Oryctolagus cuniculus: one gene and its partners. The protein of the gene in region 1 interacts with the protein of each later gene in a biochemical or structural test. Links are inferred from orthologs where the notes say so. Each region holds a gene or a part of one and is shown in the gene's direction. Other genes may lie near its edges.

Region 1 (4,392 bases):
GTCTTTGAATTCACAGACTTCAGAACATTCATGGATTTCTATATTAAGAATCCCTTTTTCCTGCTTGTACATTATAATTCCATTTGATATTTCAAATGTCTGTTTTTACTTAAAAAGGAGACAGGGTTTAAATGAAAGATATAACGTACAGCACCTGTTGTGTGTTCCAGTAGTAAAAAGTCCATTTGAAGATCATATCCTGGAAGATTTGTGTGGAATGCTTTCACTTCCGTGGATTTATCCTCATTCTGATGATGGCTCTTTGAAGTTGACCACATTTGCCACTAATCTTCTAGCATTAAGTGAGAGGATTTCAGATAGCTACTGTAAGTAGTCACAAAATTTTGTCTAATGTGTGTGATTTATTTTAACTTTATTTAGCATTTCTAATACTTATAATTTATATTTTTCAATAATTAAAAGGGATAGTACTTTTTTTTTCAAAGATTTATTTATTTATTTGAAAGAGTTACACAGAGAGAGACGTACAGGCAGAGAGAGAGAGAGAGAGAGAGAGGTCTTCCATTTACTGGTTCACTCCCCAATTGGCCACAATGGCTGGAGCTGTGCTGATCTGAAGCCAGAAGCCAGGAGCCTCTTCTCGGTCTCCCACACAGGTACCGGGGCCCAAGGAATTGGGCCATCCTCTACTTCTTTCCCAGGCCATAGCAGAGAGCTGGATTGGAAGTGGAGCAGCCAGGACACGAACTGGTGTCCATATGGGATGCTGGCACTGCAGGTGGTGGCTTTACCCACTGTGCCACAGCACCGGCTCCAAGATGGTACATTTTTAATAATTCAAAAAAGAATTATATGTGTAAAAAGTAAAAAATGAAAGTCTACCCCAAGATATCCCATTTCCTTTCTTTCTATAAAAGTTTGAAATATATTTTTACATATCTTTATCTTTACTTAATAAAATTATGAAATATTTGACAAATAAAAAAAAAGGAAAGCAATACACCAAATACTTTTAACAACTTCCCAGTTTAAGAAATAAAATGTTGGGGCCAGTACTGTGGCGTAGTAGGCTAAGCCTCCACCTGTGCTGCCGGCATCCCACGTGGGCACTGGTTCTTTCCTGGCTACTCCTCTTCTTCCCATCCAGGTCTCTGCTATGGGCTGGGAAACCGGGCCCCTTTCCTTGTGGGAGACCCTGAAGAAACTCCTGGCTCCTGGCTGCAGATCGGCTCAGCTTCAGCCATTGTGGCCATTTGGGGAATGAACTGTGGATGGAAGACATAACCTTTCTCTCTGACTCTTCCTCTCTCTGTGGCTCTACCTCTTAAATAAATAAATAAAATCTTAGAAAGAGAGAGAGAGAGAGAGGGAGGGAGGGAAGGAGGGAGGGAGGGAGGGAGGGAGGGAGGAAGGAAGGAAGGAATTGTTAAGGATGTAGTGGGTATTTGACCTACTGGTTGTCAGCAGTTAAGACAACTACTTAGATGCCTGGGCCCCGTATTCAACTACCTCAGTGTGGTAACTGGCTCCAGCTCTAGACTTCAGCTTCCTGTTATTGCAGACCCTGCAGGATAACAGTGATGGCTGCCTTCCACCCATGGAGGACACTGAGATTCTGCTTCTGGCTTTGGCCCAGCCCAGTCTCGGCCATTTCTGGCATTCAGAGAGTGAGCCAGTGAATGAGAGTTCCCTATTTGTCTCTCTCTGTGTCTCTTAAAAATTCTTTGTTTTTATTTTTAAAAAGTAAAATAAAATGTTGGAGATATAGTGGAACCCCTTTGTTCCTCCGATAATTTCTCTTCATTCTCCGCAGAGATAACTACTGTTCTGAATTTGGTATTTATTATTCTCATGAATATTTGATTACTTTTACTATATATGTTTATCTCTAAATAATACACAGAATTATATTTCCTTTATAACTTCCATTTTGTTGGTCAATATTATCTTCATGAGAGTTACCCATAGTGATACATGTAACTCTGCTATTTTATTTAAACTTCTCAATAGTATTCAAGTGTGTGGATAAACACTATTTATCTAGCCACCTATTGGCAGGCCATCAGATTGTTTCCAGTTTTTTTATAAATGCAAGCAAAATTTCCAAGGATATTTTAATAAGTGACCATGTGGTTATTCCAAAGCCTTGCTATTTGGAAAGTGTAGTCCCCAGAGCAGTAAGTGGTGATGTCACCATTTGGGAACTTGTTAAAGTAGAGAATCTTGTGCTCCCCCAAGACCTTCAGGATCAGAAACTGTTTTAACAAGACCTCAGGTGATTCATATGCATATTAAAGCTTGAGAAGCAGTATTTTTTTTTAATTAATTAATTAATTTATTTGAAAGTCAGAGTTAGAGAAAGGGAGAGACAGATTTTCCATATACTGGTTCACTTCCCAGATGGCCACAATGGCCAGGGCTGGGCCACCCTGAAGCCAGGAGCCAGGAAATTCATCCAGGTCTCCCACATGGGTGGCAGTAGCCCAAACACTTGAGCCATCCTCCAGTGCTTTTCCCAGGCCATTAGCAGGGAGCTTGATTGGAAATGAAGCAGTCAAGGACATGAACCAGCACCCATATGAGCTGCCAGCCTTGTAGACAGCAGCTTTACCTGCTGTGCCACAACGTGGCTCCCTAAGAAGTAGTATTTCAGACTAAGAATGGAATTGTTGGATTGTAGAGTTTGCTTATCCTCAGCTCTGTTCTACTGTATTCTCCAGTGATGTGCCTGCCAATTTATATTTCTGTTAATAGAATATGAGAGTACCTGTTGTTCCACATCCTCTCTGATACATAACCTTGTTAGGCTTTGAAATTTTTTGTTACATAGAAAAAAGAAAAAAAGAAGTCATTAGTGATAACTATCTTAATTTTTATTTTTCTATCTGATGTATATGATTTTCAATTTTTATTTCTCTGATTACTTAATAAGGCTGTGCACAGACCTTTTTCACTGTACCTGTTTTATTTTCTGAAAAGGGGCTTTTGATTAGATATTCTGTGTATTTTAAGTGTTACTTGACGTTACACACATGTGTGTGTGTTTAATGGATTTAATCTTTTTCAGCACCACAGGCGCAGTCACGATGTGTGTTTCTTCTAACTCTGTTTCCAAGAAGAATATTCCTTGAATGGAGAACAGCAGTTCACAACTGGGCCCTGCAGAGCTGCCATGAAGTAATTCGGGCTAGTTGTATTAGTGGATTTTTTATCTTATTACAGCAGCAGAATTCTTGCAACAGAGTTCCCAAGATCCTTATGTATGTATTAAGATTTTAATTTGAATATGTCACTAGATGAGAAAGGTCATAATTCTCTGGCTGTACCTAGGACGTTAATGTTTATTGCTGAATATGTAGAGCAATTGTTGCTTTTGTTTTAGGATTAAACATGTTTTCCTGATAAGCTTTGTCTTACCAGAATTTTGTCCCAAGTTAAGACCATTTAACCCAAAAAATTAAGCAAGAGGTTTGCTTTTTTTTCTTTCTTTTTCTCCAGAGATAAAGTCAAAGATGATTCTGACATTGTCAAGAGAGAATTTGCCTCTGTACTTGGTCAGCTTGTCTGTAGCCTTCATGGCATGTTTCATTTGACAAGTTCTTTAACAGAACCATTCTCTGAACATGGACATATGGATCTGTTCTGTAAGAACCTGAAAGCCACTTCCCCACACGAATGTTCATCTTCTCAACTAAAAGCTTCTGTTTGCAAGCCATTCCTTTTCCTACTGAAAAAAAAAATACCTAGCCCAGTAAAACTTGGTGAGTCGTTATGATTTACTTAATATTTTAAAACCTATTTGAAAAACTGTTTTTCAAATCAGTGCTAGAACTAGCCTAAGGCCTTAAAAGATAACAAGTGACATTGTTGATAGATTCAATGCTTAGTAGTGATTATTTATAAATGGATGAATGGTATTAGAATATGTCACAGAGTCAGTAAAAGAAGTGATTTTTAGATTTTTTTAAAAGATTTATTTATTTATTTGAAAGAGTTACAGAGAGAAAAGGAGAGATGGAAATCTATCCACTGGTTCACTTCCCAGAAGGCTGCAACAGCTAAGGCTGGGCCAGGCAGAAGCCGGGAGCTTAATCTGTGTCTCCCATGTGGGTCGCAGGGGCCCAAGCACTTGGGCCATCTTCTGTTGCTTTTCCCAGGCTATTAGCAGGAAGCTGAGGTGAAGCAGTTGGGACTGGAACCCGTGCCCGTATGGGATGCTGGTGTTGCAGCTGTTGGCTTTACCCACTGAGCCACAACACTAGATTTTTGTGATTTAACAGGCGGACAGAGTATACCTGATGGTTGGTTTAATATCATGAGGTTCAATATTCGGTATTTTCTTTGATGATACCGGAGACCTTCTTAATGTGTCTCCAGTCATCACCTTGGACCTTCAGAACTTCTTATAGTTAGATTAGCTTGCCCAACTGA
Region 2 (4,922 bases), on another chromosome or scaffold:
CAGTGCAAAGGGGTATGGATGCCACTGCCTTATATGCATTACCCAGCCCCCGGTCCTCCTCAGCCAGCGGCTTGAGGCCAGCTCCCAGCTCCTTTCCACCTGCACGTTCTCATAGATGCTGAACACTCCCTGTATTCCTCAGAAGACCAAAACTCCGCCATCACAATAGTGAGCTCTCCTGCTAACAATGAGTTTGCAGTCAGTCCCATTGTCTTTATTTTTCTCTCCCAGTTATCTACCATCTCTGACTAAAATGTAAACGTTAGGACAGTGACCATAAGGTGTGCTAAATGTGGAGGTACTCCAAAGTCTGCAGGAAGTGGGAGTTTATTTTGGTGGCAAAATATTTTGAAGCCCATGATAGTCACATGTATTTATTGTATCACTTCAGAAGCACAAGTGCAGGCCATTGATGCAGCTATGGGACTAAAGCTAAGCTTTCTCTGAGGATGTCCTCAGAGAGGCTTGTAGGCTTGGCCAGGTGAAAACTGGAAAAGTGACAGATTAAACCCTGTCCTGTGATTAACGTAGTCGATGGTGACAGGGTGCTTTGGTCCTCTGGGAAGTTGCACAACTAGCAGCTCCTCTGGGCTGCAGAACATTTCCCATGGGGCCTTGCAAGCTGGCACCCCGCAGTGTGCTGTCAAAATCAGTCCTTGCACCGCCCGTGAGAGCACACTGCCTCTGAGAGCAAGTCGCTGCTCTCTGGCAGAATCTAATCCCTCCTGATGGGTGATCCTGTCTTTCCAAGGCCAGAGACCTACAGCAATTAATATGGAAGCATTCGACATTTGTGCAGCCGAGTTTCAGAAAACACGAAAGCCTTCTAGGACTTGACAGCAGTCTGCCCTCACAGGTATTGGTAGGAGACTCAGGCTCAGTTTGGCACTGAGTACCCAAGGTTTAAGAATCTTGCTCCTGTTACTCTCCGTGCCAATCTCCCCTGTTCAACTGCTCTGCGCACCGCAGCTACCACTCTGGGAAGCCTTACTGTCTGCCATAGATTACCAACACCTGGCCTGCCTTGGGTGGGGAATTCTGCGCTAGCCTTCTACCCCTTTATCTTGCTGTCTCCCACCTGACAACCTGTAGGACAGCCCAGGTGCCACTTCGGGGGGGGGGGGGGGCTCTTCCTTGACCTGACCCTCACTCATCTTTATACAACCAGTGCTTGTGACAAATATGCTCCAGCAATCTCCGAGAGAATGAATGAATGAATGAATGAAAGAAGTCTGAGCACTTCCCACACGGATGGTTCTCCTTGGACCTGTCTTCCCGAAACCTACCTCAAATGCCACACATTTCACACTCCTCGCCTAATCTCCCTAAAGGAGCCTCGGAGTATGTGATGGAAAGAGGCAGCGAGCTCTCGGGGGCCAGAACCCTGAACTCTGCCTGCCTCGATTCAAACGCACAAGGGTGACTGTCAGGGCGAACTGTCCCCCGCAGTTCTGTGCTCTGCTGGGCGCCAGGCAACCTCGAGGTTTCCCCGAAAACCCCCGGCGCCGGAGCCGGGCTCAGCTGGGCGGAGAGGGGCGGGGCGCCATCGACACTGGCGGGGACTCGGCCGAGCCTGGCGGCGCGCTCGGAGAGACGTCATTTCTCCGCGCTCGCGGGCCGGCAGCTGATTGGCCCGTGGGGTCGGGGGCGGTGCATAAGAGGCTGAGGCGAGTGCCGGCTCGCGGGCGGTTGGCTCGCCGGCGGCTTCGCGCTGCCGTGTGGGATTTGGCGTCTTCAGATGCTTGGGGCCGGCTGGAGGCATGGCTGGGACCTCCGCGCCGGGCAGGAGGCGGAGCGGGCCCGCAGCCCCTCGCCCTAGCCCGCTGCCCTCCACTGGGCACCCCCCAAGCAAGCGGGCCCGGGGTTTCCCTGAGGCCGCCGCCCCGGACCCTGAAGACCCGTTCGGCGAGCACGGAGACTTCACCGCTGACGACCTGGAGGAGCTCGACATCCTCGCGTCACAGGCCCTGAGCCAATGCCCGGCCGCGGCCCGGGACGTGTCCAGTGAGTGCCCTTCCCGGCCTCTTCCCCGGAGGGCAGTGCAGACCGCACCACATCTCCTTGACCGCTGTGGCTTCCGAACTCCAGGCGAGCGCTGCCCCAGTGTCCTGAACTAACACTCCCTTAACCTTCTTAAAAATACAGTAACGCCCCGATTGGAGCAGTTGGTTGTGTTCCAGGAGCTCCCTCGATTTGGGGGAGAAATGCATCTGGAATATCACTTGGAAATATAGAAAGCTAGGTTGACTTTTTTTTTTTTTTTTTTTTAAGTTAAGGCTACTCGGTTCTTAAAAGGTTCTAAGCAGAGATCCGTGGAACACATCTACCGGAACCATGGCTACCCACGTGCGAGTCTTTAAATCTGAAGCCCTCGTGCCCCTTAGCATGAGCCTAGGAGGAGCCTAGCAGAGGCAACAGATCAAAAATTTATTCTTAGACAAGCTTAATCAGCGCCACATGCAGCCGGCCTACCAATTAACAAAATAGGGCACATCCTGCATGGCGCTCGCTCCGTAGTTGAGTCTCATGCGGCTTCCAGAAAGGTTTCCGGGACATCTTGCCTCTGTAGTTGTTTGACAGGCATCTGAAACTCAACACGGTAATGGTCCGGAAACCCAGGCCTCCTGCAGCGTCTCCCGCGCTATTCCCGCTCGGCAGACTTGGAGAAGACACCTGTGATGACCAGATGCTCCCCCCGGCAGACTGTCTTCCGCCTTCACCCTACCTCTCTTTCCTTTGCCAATCCTGCCCACTTCCTGGGTCTGTCTCTGGACTCCATCCTGTTCCCATGGTCTCTGAACTCCCTGAGAGTCCGCCCCTGCACGAGATTGCTAACCTGGCTCCCCATTCCCTGTGCTGACTGCCTGCAAGTCAGACTTCACACTACAGCCAGAACGATCCTTGCAGAACCCACACTGGGCCATGTCGCACAGACAAATGTGAACATAGCTGCCGGACGTCCTTTAATAACTTCCCTCTGCTTCTAGAATGAAGACCTAAACCCTTAACGTGCGTGGTCTGCCCCGACTGCTAGCCACACTAACTTTGCCTCGTTCTGTGATTGCTCCCTGTTTGCTTCTAATACAGGAACTTTGCACGTTGCTCTTTGTTACACACTGACTGTTCTTGCTAGCCATCTGCCCTCAGGGTTCAGTCCGGCTTGTCTTTGAACCACAGCTCCTGAAGGCTTCCTGAGGGAAGCCTTCCAGTCACTGCGTTTGGCTCAGATGCCTCTTAGCAGAGGCTCTCCTCACGGTTGTAATTTAACATTTATTTGTGTATGAAGACTGTATCTGTTGTGTTCCCCATGCCAGCTGTATTGGCGCTCAGTAAATACTGCTAAATAACGTGACACCGAGCTCTGGCCGGTGAGAGCCCCTCACCACCTCTCACCCTTCAGTGAGACTTGAAATCGGGTGAGGATATAGACAGGGTGAAAAGATCCACTATTTCCTAAGTATCATTTATGAGTTTGAATCCTCCTCTTAGGTTGGGAATTCCCTATATGTCTTGCTTATAGAACTTTCTCTACTTTGCTCTCAAGATTGATTCTTTTCAGCATTTTCTAGCAAAAGTAGGAAAATGTTGGGTGCTAAATTATGTATGGGAACTGTTTTTTCTTTTCCTACAGGTATTCATAAAGTTCCCAGGTTAGATGGGATGTCAAAAACTCCAGCAGGGAAAAACAGAGAAAGTGTACCTGTTAAAGATAATTTTGAGTTAGAAATACTTCAAGCACAATACAAAGAACTAAAAGAAAAGGTAAGTAATTTAACCTGTGGTTTTTGCAGTTAATTCATTCACTTACGTGTTAGAAGACATTGTACAATAAAAGATAAAAATATGAAGGTTTTTAAGAGCATAGATTCACAGCTACAAAATGAAGAACACTGGGGAAAGAAAGCCAGAACATTTAGGCTGAAGAATTATAGATTGTGAGGTTGCTTAGAGCTAGGCGAGAAGAAAAAATTATGGGAAAGGTATTTGGCACAGAACTTTAAGATGCTACTTGGGGCCGGTGCCACGGCTCACTAGGCTAATCCTCCACCTTGCGGCGCCGGCACACTGGGTTCTAGTCCCATTCGGGGTGCCGGATTCTGTCCCGGTTGCCCCTCTTCCAGGCCAGCTCTCTGCTGTGGCCAGGGAGGGCAGTGGAGGATGGCCCAAGTGCTTGGGCCCTGCACCCCATGGGAGACCAGGAGAAGCACCTGGCTCCTGCCATTGGATCAGCGCGGTGCGCCTGCCACAGCGCACCAGCAGCGGCAGCCATTGGAGGGTGAACCAATGGAAAAGGAAGACCTTTCTCTCTCTCTCTCACTGTCCACTCTGTCAAAAAAAAAAAAAAAAAAAAAAAAAAAGGCTACTTGGGATGCCCGCTTTCTGTATCGGAATGTTTGATTTAAATCCCAGCTCTGCTTCTGATTCCAGCTTCCTGGTGAGGCACACCCTGGGAAGCAGCAGATGATGGTTCAAGTGCTTGGGTCCCTGCCACCCATGCGGAAGACCCTGATTGAGTTCCAGGCTCTCAGCTTCAGCCTGGCCCAGCTCTAGCTGTTGCAGACGTTTGGGGAGTGAACCAACAGGTGGAACATCACTCTGTCACTCTGCTCTTCTAATTAAAAAAAAAGTTTTTTAGAAGGAAAAGAAACATTTTATACTAAATCCAAGAAGAGATAAAATGAGAGATGAATTTATGGTATGCATGTTTTTTTAATTTTATATTTAAATAAATTTTTTTAATTTACTTATCTGAAAGGAAGAATTACTGAGAGGCAGAAGGAGAGGTCTTCCATAAGCTGGCTCACTCCCCCAGATGGCCACAAGGACAGAGCTGTGCCAGTCGAAAGGCAGGAGCCAGAAGCTTCTTCCTTGTCTCTCACATGGATGTAGGGGCCCAAGTACTTGGGCCATCTTCCACTGCT
Region 3 (4,392 bases), on another chromosome or scaffold:
GTCTCTCTCTACCTCTGCCTTTCAAATAAATAATATTATACAAATAAATTAATATTTGTAAATAGTTCAGAAACTTCTTTTAAAAGATTTATTTATTTGAAATTCAGAGTTGCAGAGAGAGACAGGGAGAAATAGAGTGATTTTCCATCTGCTGGTTCTCTCCCCAGATAGCGGCTCGGGCCAGGGCTGGGCCAGGCTGAAGCCAGGAGCTTCTGCTGCTCTTCGCAAGCTGTTAGCAGGGAGCTGGATTGGAAGTGGAGCATCCAGGACATGTGAACACTCGCCCATATGCAATGCCTGCGTTGTAGACAGTGGCCCTACCCACTGTACCACAGCGCTAGCCCATAGAAACTTTGATAGTCTATTTTCCCTACGTGGAGGACATTTTTTTTTACAGTCATGATAATGAATTATATTTTAAGACTTTGCATTTTTTCAACAGAATGATTCCAGGCTAAAACTTATACACACAGAATGTCTGAGAGTTTGTGGTAACTGGTTAGCAGAAACTTGCTTAGAAAATCCTACAGTCATCATGCAGACCTATCTAGAAAAGGTGAGCTTTTAGAGTAACCCTTAAGTTAATGAATATACTTGATTTTTTTTGCATCAGGTCCAAATATATTTCAAAAGCAAATAAAGACATGAGTTTTTCCATATGTTATCACTATTAGAACTCTGTATAATATTTAGGGCAAGAAGTAAGCAGAATTTTACCAAGGGAACATATGTTGAAAGAAATCCCAAGTATGGCTTCCCCTTCCTCAGTCTTCCCACCACTAGCTGCTCTTTCGTAAGTTGTTTCTGATGCTTTCTCCATGTTGTCATCTACAAAAATAGCTGATTAAGGAGCATGCAAGCTGGCCCTTACTATTCACTTGTGGTACAACCACGCACAAGTAAAGGCTAGGACTTCAGTACTTCAGCCCCCTTTGACTTTCCGATTTCTCCTTCTTATTCCTTAAGTTAGCTGATTTTGGAAATAGTTACCTGATTTAAATAAGTATAACTTGAAAAGAATGATGTAATTAACTTTAAATTTTATAATGCTCTTTGTTTTTGCACAATTTGCATTTTGTAAATACTGTCTTGGTTATTTCTTCACTGTCAGCGTTGTTTTGAAAGGCTAAGAAAATAATAGATTTCATATAATGTAGCTTTTACATATATAAACTTGAGGATGAGATTACTTTGAGTATTTGTATTGTTTAGTATTTGTAAATTAAATGGATTGTGTGTTCTTAAAGGCCGTAGAAGTTGCTGAAAGTTGTGATGGAGAAAATAATGATGAGCTCAGAAATGGGAAAATGAAGGCATTTCTCTCATTAGCACGGTTCTCAGATACTCAGTACCAGAGAATTGAAAACTACATGAAATCATCAGAATTTGAAAACAAGCAAGCCCTCCTAAAAAGGGCCAAAGAGGAAGTGGGCCTCCTGAGGGAACATAAGATTCAGACTAACAGGTAAGTAGATGTCTACAGGTGATAACTTTATGTTCACAAGTTAACTGAATGAATCTATCTGTGAAAAATGTGATCTGATTTTTTTATCTGATTATAATTTTCAGCATACGTATAGATTGTCTTGGCCCCACAGTGGTTATCTCAAATGAGCATGTAAGACGCTGACATGTGTTCTTTGAGGAGGTGTTCATAATCTGGTTCTAAACTCACGTAGTGTTTAGGTGTTAGCTTTTGGGTTTTGATTTTTAATTTGTTAGTTGGTATCAGCTGAAAAGGAGATAGATAGGAAATTAAAAACAGAAGACTTGGGGCAGGAATTGTGGTGCAGTGGGTTATGCCACTACTTGGGATGCTCACATCCCATAGCAGAGTGTCTGGTTTAAGTGCTGGCTCTGATCTAGTTGCCTGCTGATACATATAAGAGGCAGCAGATGACAATGTGGGTAATGAGTCCCTGTCATAAGTAGAGGATAAGTTAACTAAATAGCTTGAATAGAGTTCACTCTGCCCTCCTTTGCTTAGGAAAGCTTATGAATTGCATAATGAAAGCAAAAGTAAGTTTGTTTACTTTATAATTCTTAGAATTTTGCTTTTTCTCCTGTAAGGACTCTTGATTTCCCAGTTATGTATATATCATATATGGTTTTGTAGTAATGTAAAATTTAATGGCTTTTGTATTTTACTTTTAATGCAAGATACACAGTAAAGGTTCAGCGAGAGCTGGAGCTGGATGAATGTGCACTTCGTGCACTGAAAGAGGATCGCAAACGCTTCTTATGTAAAGCAGTTGAAAATTACATCAACTGCTTATTAAGTGGAGAAGAACATGATATGTGGGTATTTCGACTTTGTTCTCTCTGGCTTGAAAACTCTGGAGTTCCTGAAGTCAATGGCATGATGAAGGCAAGTCTATTCAACCCAACATTCTAACTTGCACTTTAAAAGCTGACATAAGCCCTTTGATTCAGGGACTTTGTAAATCCTTTTGTATCTTGAGCATTAGATTGGGTCTCTTTACAGAAGCACTTAAATTCTAAATGATACAGGTTTCTGTGGAGATGAAAAAATTTAGGTCTTTTCCTATATCTTTGCAGTTACCACTGGAGAGTAGTGCCCAGAGGAGGGCACTAAATGCAGGGATTTGGAAAGAAGTTAAAGATAATGTAATCAGTCACTAGTGGGTTCCTGCTTGTCTGGGACTACTAGAGTGAATTATTTTTATAAATGGAAACACATTTTAAAGAAAAATCTAGATGTCAATATTTCAGAAATTTTTATTTAAAAATCTTCGATTTTAATGATAACACCTAATGGTAAAGTTTATATTGACAAGGTAGATTTTGTCAGTGAATTTGAAGGTTAAAAGTAAAATAATGCCCCTGGATGAAAAGAATAATAAGACTCATAATACACAGGCCCCATCTCTGCCAAAGTATACATTAAATCCTATAGGCCAGGGTATATAAGGATTTAATTGTACACTGATTTCTCAGGATTCTGTGTTATGGTAGTACTCGTGTCTATAATCATGCTCCTTAGATTCAGTGGAATATAAGCAGTACCAGATATTCCAGTTCTTTTTTTAAAAGATTTATTTATTTATTTGAAATTCAGAGTTGCACAGAGAGAGGAGAGGAGAGGGAGAGAGAGATAGGTCTTCCATCCACTGGCCCACTCCCCAGATGGCCGCTTCTGCTGGAGCTGCGCCAATCCAAAGCCAGGAGATTCCTCTGGGTCTCCCATGTGGGTGCACAGGCCCAAGGACTTGGGCCATCTCTGCTTTCCCAGGCCACAGCAGAGAGCTGGTTTGGAAGTGGAACAGCCGGGACTCGAACTGACGCCCATATGGGATTCCAGCACTGCAGGCGGTGGCTTTACCCGCTATGCCATAGCACAGGCCCTCCAGTTCTGAATACAATTGAAATTAGAAAGAAATACTTCAGCTTACCTTCTTTTCTTTTTCTTTTTTTAAAGTTTGCCGAACTTTCTGTTTCTTTTTTTTTTTTTTAAGATTTATTTATTTATTTGAAAGAGTTAACACACAGAGAGAACGAGAGGCAGAGAGAGCAAAAGAGTTCTTCCAGCCGTTGGTTCACTTCTCAATTGGCCTGCAATGGCAGGAGCTGCGCCAGCCTGAGGCTAGGAGCCTGGACATTCTTCCAGGTCTCCCAAGCGGGTGCAGGGGCCCAAGAAATTGGGCCAGCTTCTACTGCTTTCCCAGGCCATAGCAGAGAGCTGGATTGGAAGTGGAGCAGCCATGTCTCAAACAGGCACCCATATGGGATTCCTGCAGCGGCTTTAACCGCTATACCACAGTGCAGGCCCTTGACTTACCTTTGAACCAATCTAGAATACTTACGATAAAGCCTTTCAGATAGAAGTAACAAGGAAATTCATAGTGAAGTTTTGTTGATAACCAATTGGTTTTGCTAGAAGAGGATCAATAACTTAGGATAATTTATTTGTTTAGTTGTGAAAATATTTGAAATGTATTGTTTATTAATTTTATACCCTTTTATAAATGAAAGGGACCTGGAATGGAGATTCCATCATACAAATTTTTGCCTCTAATGTACCAACTGGCTGCTAGAATGGGAACCAAAATGATGGGAGGAGTGGGATTTCATGAAGTCCTCAATAATGTAAGTAAACCTGAAAACTAAATCATAGTGACTATATTGTTATTTATATATATTGTGTTATATTGTTATATGTTATATTATATTGTGTTATATATATATTGTGTTATACTGTTATGTATGCACACACACACACATACATGCACACAACTCTTCTCTCTGGGAAATATGAAATTCTGTGTTATACTGTTATGTATATGCACACACACACACATATATACATGCACACAACTCCTCTGTGGGAAATATGAAATTCTGTATTTTGTCACCTCTCATATCATGTAAGCT
Region 4 (4,392 bases), on another chromosome or scaffold:
AACGGCCCTGTTTCAGGACGGGCTTTGTGTTGCACAGGTTAAGTTTTGCTTAGAACACTTACATGTTGCATCAGAGAGCCAGTTTGAATCCCGGCTGCTCCACTTCCAATCCATTCCCCTGCTAATGCACCTGGGAAGCAGTGGATGATGGCTCAAATGCTTGGGCCCCTGGCTTCATGTTGGCCTCACCCTGGCTCTTACCACATCTGAGGAGTGAACCAACGGATAGAAGATCCACCCCCCACCCCCCACCCGCTGTCTTTCTGGCTCTTTCAAATAAATTAAATAAATGCTAAAAACAAAAAAAGAGGAAAGTAGGGACAGTGTATTTAAGTCAGGAAGTTTAAGTGAGCTCCTGTGTACCTCACCTTCATTCTAGATGCCTTTTCTGCTTCTCTCTCCAGTTTGCATATCTCTTGGACGCTAAGAAGGAAAAGTTGTGCCTCTCATTTTGTGGGATTTCACCTGTGGCACCCAGTTGTTGTAGAATTTATTTTTGAAGTTAAATAGAATAATGATCATCCTTTGCTTTGTTTTTAAAGGTCCACCCGTATCTAAGTCTTTTGGTGCCTCAAAGGCATTTGGAAAATCTGGAGGTTCCAGTCTGTTGAACACTGCTGGGGGAACACAGTCCAAAGTGGTACCCATTGCCAGCCTCACCCCTTACCAGTCCAAGTGAGTTACTGCTGTGGAATGTATCTACAAAATAACAGAAGTCATTTTGGGTTCTTGAGTTATTTATGTGTGAACTTCTGAATCACCATGACATAGAATAGTATTCCTCTTTTTCTTTTTCTTTTTTTTTTTCTTCCCAAGGGGAAGGAAAGTACTAATTGTGGCAGCCTTTGACTCTCTTATCAAAAAGAACGACAAAAATAGGAATCCACCAGCACTTATGGGGTTTCACTCATTATGAAAGAATTTTGAATTAAAAATATGCAATGCTTAAAGAATCAGTTGATAATCTTGTGAGGAAAAATAAGTATTTGTGCTAATCCCAAAGGCATTTCATCATCTCATAGAAATAAATGCCTTTTAGCCTAAAAATTGTTCCTGTGATTTGGTTGGCTGAGGTATACTGTTTGTGTTAACCTTGTTAACTTACCCTGAACAAGTATTTATTTTAGATGACTTTTGTCTACTAAAAATTGAGCAGTTGAAAGTGAGTTCTCTTTCCTGAATGCTTTCCAGTGTTTTTATTTACTCTTCAGCGGTGTGTAATGTGGGGACGATTTTCCCCTGTGTCGCTGTCAGGTGTAGCTCAGGCCCCAGGCACGTACATTCAGGGTGGACACCCAGACTGGCTCTCGAATCCTGTGCCTCCTTTCTTAGTGGCATCTGGGCAAGGTCCTGCTGCTTCAGTGCGTTTCCCTCGGGTGGCAAGCCCACCAACACCAAGTTCTGCTGCAAGTGAGACAGAGTTTGACACCAATTATATCAGTTCCCATAATGCAAATAGTGGCAAAATATAATTGCTGAAATTACTGCTGTTTTCTAGCTTGGAACCCTTCATTGGGGGACATTGTTACCTTGGTAATCCTTTTTGGTAAAGGAAGAGAGCTTATAAATTGACTTATTTGACAGAATGAGTTAGTGTTAAATGACTTTACGTGTTTTGCTATTTGCTTATCCCGTAAGCTGTCAAACCTGGGGTATTAATTAGCTGGTTTAAAATACAGCTAATTGTGAAAAAGTGGAATGTGCATAAGATGAGAAAAGCCATAGGAAGATGATTTCTTTCTTGATCTTTATTCTGAGTAAGGCTGCAATTACTCATATATAATCACTCTGGTTTTCAGGTGGACTATTTGTGCTCGTGTTACCAACAAAAGCCAGATCCGCACCTGGAGCAATTCCAGAGGGGAAGGGAAGCTTTTCTCCATAGAGCTGGTTGATGAAAGCGTGAGTATTTGTGGGAGCAGTGGTCAGCTCTGCATGCCTGCGAGCGGGTGAAAAAGTAACAGTGGGCCAGAAAGAAACTTGACTGTCATTTTGATGTTCCCTCTGTTACAGTAAGTCCTTTGATACAGCCTGGGAGTAGAGGGCTACAGGTCATAAATAAAATTCTTGTAGCAGAAGAAATCGATTTTCCAAATGTGTAAGTAGCCTCCTGGGCAGGAGGAGCCGGAGCCACCATGTCTGATTTGCTGTAGGCTCAGCTGTGGCCTCAGATGTGCTGCCTGCTGATGAGCGAATCGGGTGCTGGGCCCCGAGGAAGGCAGCAGGCACTGTGCACAGAGAATGGTGTGTGGGAAACGGGTTCTGATGGTGCAGACTCTCGCATACCTTATGTAAACAGAACTGAGGGGATGAGACAGAAAGTTTCCAGGCTGTGGAATCCTGACAATCTTGGTAGCTGCCGGTCTGCCCGTTAGTCTGGCTTATCATTCCTAAAATGTACATCAGGCTTTCTTTTCCATCTGCTGCGTACTTCCTTCTTGTTCAGATCCCTAAGAGGGCAGAAAAAATGGTTTCTTTTTTTGGGAGATGGTAACACCCAAATGTTAGACTGTATGATGACAGGATCAGAACCAGACCTTAACTCTTTACAAATTCTGCATCTAATCCATGGCGCTTTGGCTGAAATTTCAGCCCTTTAAGTTTTTTACGCATTTGATGACTTTTGACTGACTTCTTATGAAAGTGAAAGTGAAAATCAAAGCGTCTGTAACTTGAGCACACATTTTTGGCAGCAACACCTGCCTGGGGGAAGCTGGGGAGTCATTTGGTTCAGTGCACTTCCCCGTGGGCTTCACTCGTGTCGATTGCGTTCAGAACTCTCTGGTTCTAGTTTAAAAAAAAAAAAAAAATTTCCTTAATACAATGGAACACTTCCTTTTAACATTAAAAAAAAAAAAGAACTCTGGTTCTTATTGACAGAATACTGAATTATTGGAGTTTTGTTTGTTTTGAATTTCTTTTTATTTTTTTTTTTTTCTTTTTTTGAGAGGTAGAGTTACAGACAGTGAGAGGGAGAGACAGAGAGAGGTCTTCCATCCACTGGTTCACTCCCCAAATGGCCGCAATGACCGGAGCTGCGCCAATCTGAAGCCAGGAACCAGGAGCTTCTTCCTGGTCTTCCACGTGGGTGCAGGGGCCCAAGGACTTGGGCCATCTTCTACTGCCTTCCCAGGCCATAGCAGAGAGATGGATGGGAAGAGGAGCAGTCGGGACTTGAACTGGTGCCCATATGGGATGCCGGCACCACAGGCGGAGGCTTAACCTACTACACCACAGCACCGGCCCCTGTTTTGACTTTCTAACCTGAGGTTAATAAAGCATGATTCTGGGTCAGCTAGTTGAACTTCCCTGTGTCACTTGGCTAACGGTTGGAATTTGTGCCTGTAAAAGGTGTGTGCCTGGAATGGCTGTCCCCTTCCCCACTTGCGTCATCTCGATGCCCACGGCCTGTTTCTCGCGGGTCACACTTGATGCTGAACATGACCATGCTGACCGGCTCTCACTTGCCTCTGCAGGGTGAAATCAGAGCTACTGCTTTCAATGAGCAGGTGGACAAGTTCTTTCCCCTTATTGAAGTGAACAAGGTATGGTAGTGCTGGATTGAGAACTGACCCAGCCGGATGGTGGGGTGAGAGCAAGGGGAGTGTGGTCCAGTGGAGCGTTGTGTGGTGAAGAAAGGTTTTTATGTCCCACCTGATGGACTGTGTACACTTCATGGCCTCTCTTGCAGGTGTATTATTTCTCAAAAGGCACCCTGAAGATAGCCAACAAACAATTCACAGCTGTTAAAAACGACTACGAGATGACCTTCGTTAACGAGACGAGTGTGATGCCCTGTGAAGACGGGCACCATCTGCCCACGGTCCAGTTTGCTTTCACCGGGATCGACGCCCTAGAGAATAAGCCCAAGGACTCACTTGTAGGTAAGTCTGCGTGTGAAAACAAAGCCGTGGTCTCTCACTGTACCTGCGGTGTGTAGGGACGCATTACTGTGCAGTTCTTGGTCATGTTTTGACGGGAGCCCTGGCCATCTCTCCACTGACACGACGTGCCTGTGTTGCAGACATAATTGGGATCTGCAAGAGCTATGAAGATGCCACAAAAATCACAGTGAAATCTAACAACAGAGAAGTCGCTAAGAGAAATATCTATCTGATGGACACGTCTGGGAAGGTGGTGACTGCCACTCTGTGGGGAGAAGATGTGAGTACTTGCACAGAGCGGCTGTCACACACGGAAAGCGCTCCTGAGGGTGCTGCACTTGTCCCCTGCGTCCTGGGGCTTGGCTGTGCTGTCCTTTTGCTCACTTCCGCCAGCTTCGAGTGGTTTACACTTTGTGAGGCGAAATGCTCTTCCCTGTAACTCTGGGAAGGTAGCCCCAGACTCGTGCTGATGTGTTCCGAGCAGAGCTTGTGGGTATGGTTTGTCTTG

What was found.
Region 2: the proteins of ATR (region 1) and ATRIP form a complex in vitro, tested with the Homo sapiens proteins (4 studies listed by BioGRID and IntAct, with this or other methods). The link is inferred for Oryctolagus cuniculus from reciprocal best matches to the Homo sapiens genes ATR and ATRIP.
Region 3: of the proteins of ATR (region 1) and ATM, one has a biochemical effect on the other in vitro, tested with the Homo sapiens proteins (2 studies listed by BioGRID, with this or other methods). The link is inferred for Oryctolagus cuniculus from reciprocal best matches to the Homo sapiens genes ATR and ATM.
Region 4: the proteins of ATR (region 1) and RPA1 form a complex in vitro, tested with the Homo sapiens proteins (2 studies listed by BioGRID, with this or other methods). The link is inferred for Oryctolagus cuniculus from reciprocal best matches to the Homo sapiens genes ATR and RPA1.

The regions. Positions count from the first base shown.
Region 1 is NC_091435.1:139,336,031-139,340,422, forward strand, and holds part of ATR (serine/threonine-protein kinase ATR), read left to right. Parts: intron 1-170; coding exon 171-326; intron 327-3,028; coding exon 3,029-3,221; intron 3,222-3,459; coding exon 3,460-3,722; intron 3,723-4,392. UniProt on the Homo sapiens protein: Serine/threonine protein kinase which activates checkpoint signaling upon genotoxic stresses such as ionizing radiation (IR), ultraviolet light (UV), or DNA replication stalling, thereby acting as a DNA damage sensor.
Region 2 is NC_091441.1:100,606,434-100,611,355, reverse strand, and holds the start of ATRIP (ATR-interacting protein), read left to right. Parts: upstream 1-1,654; 5' UTR 1,655-1,760; coding exon 1,761-2,088; intron 2,089-3,631; coding exon 3,632-3,762; intron 3,763-4,922. UniProt on the Homo sapiens protein: Required for checkpoint signaling after DNA damage. Required for ATR expression, possibly by stabilizing the protein.
Region 3 is NC_091432.1:100,091,786-100,096,177, forward strand, and holds part of ATM (serine-protein kinase ATM), read left to right. Parts: intron 1-442; coding exon 443-556; intron 557-1,247; coding exon 1,248-1,465; intron 1,466-2,160; coding exon 2,161-2,368; intron 2,369-3,993; coding exon 3,994-4,107; intron 4,108-4,392.
Region 4 is NC_091448.1:47,388,532-47,392,923, forward strand, and holds part of RPA1 (replication protein A 70 kDa DNA-binding subunit), read left to right. Parts: intron 1-542; coding exon 543-675; intron 676-1,799; coding exon 1,800-1,902; intron 1,903-3,476; coding exon 3,477-3,545; intron 3,546-3,691; coding exon 3,692-3,884; intron 3,885-4,024; coding exon 4,025-4,164; intron 4,165-4,392. UniProt on the Homo sapiens protein: As part of the heterotrimeric replication protein A complex (RPA/RP-A), binds and stabilizes single-stranded DNA intermediates that form during DNA replication or upon DNA stress.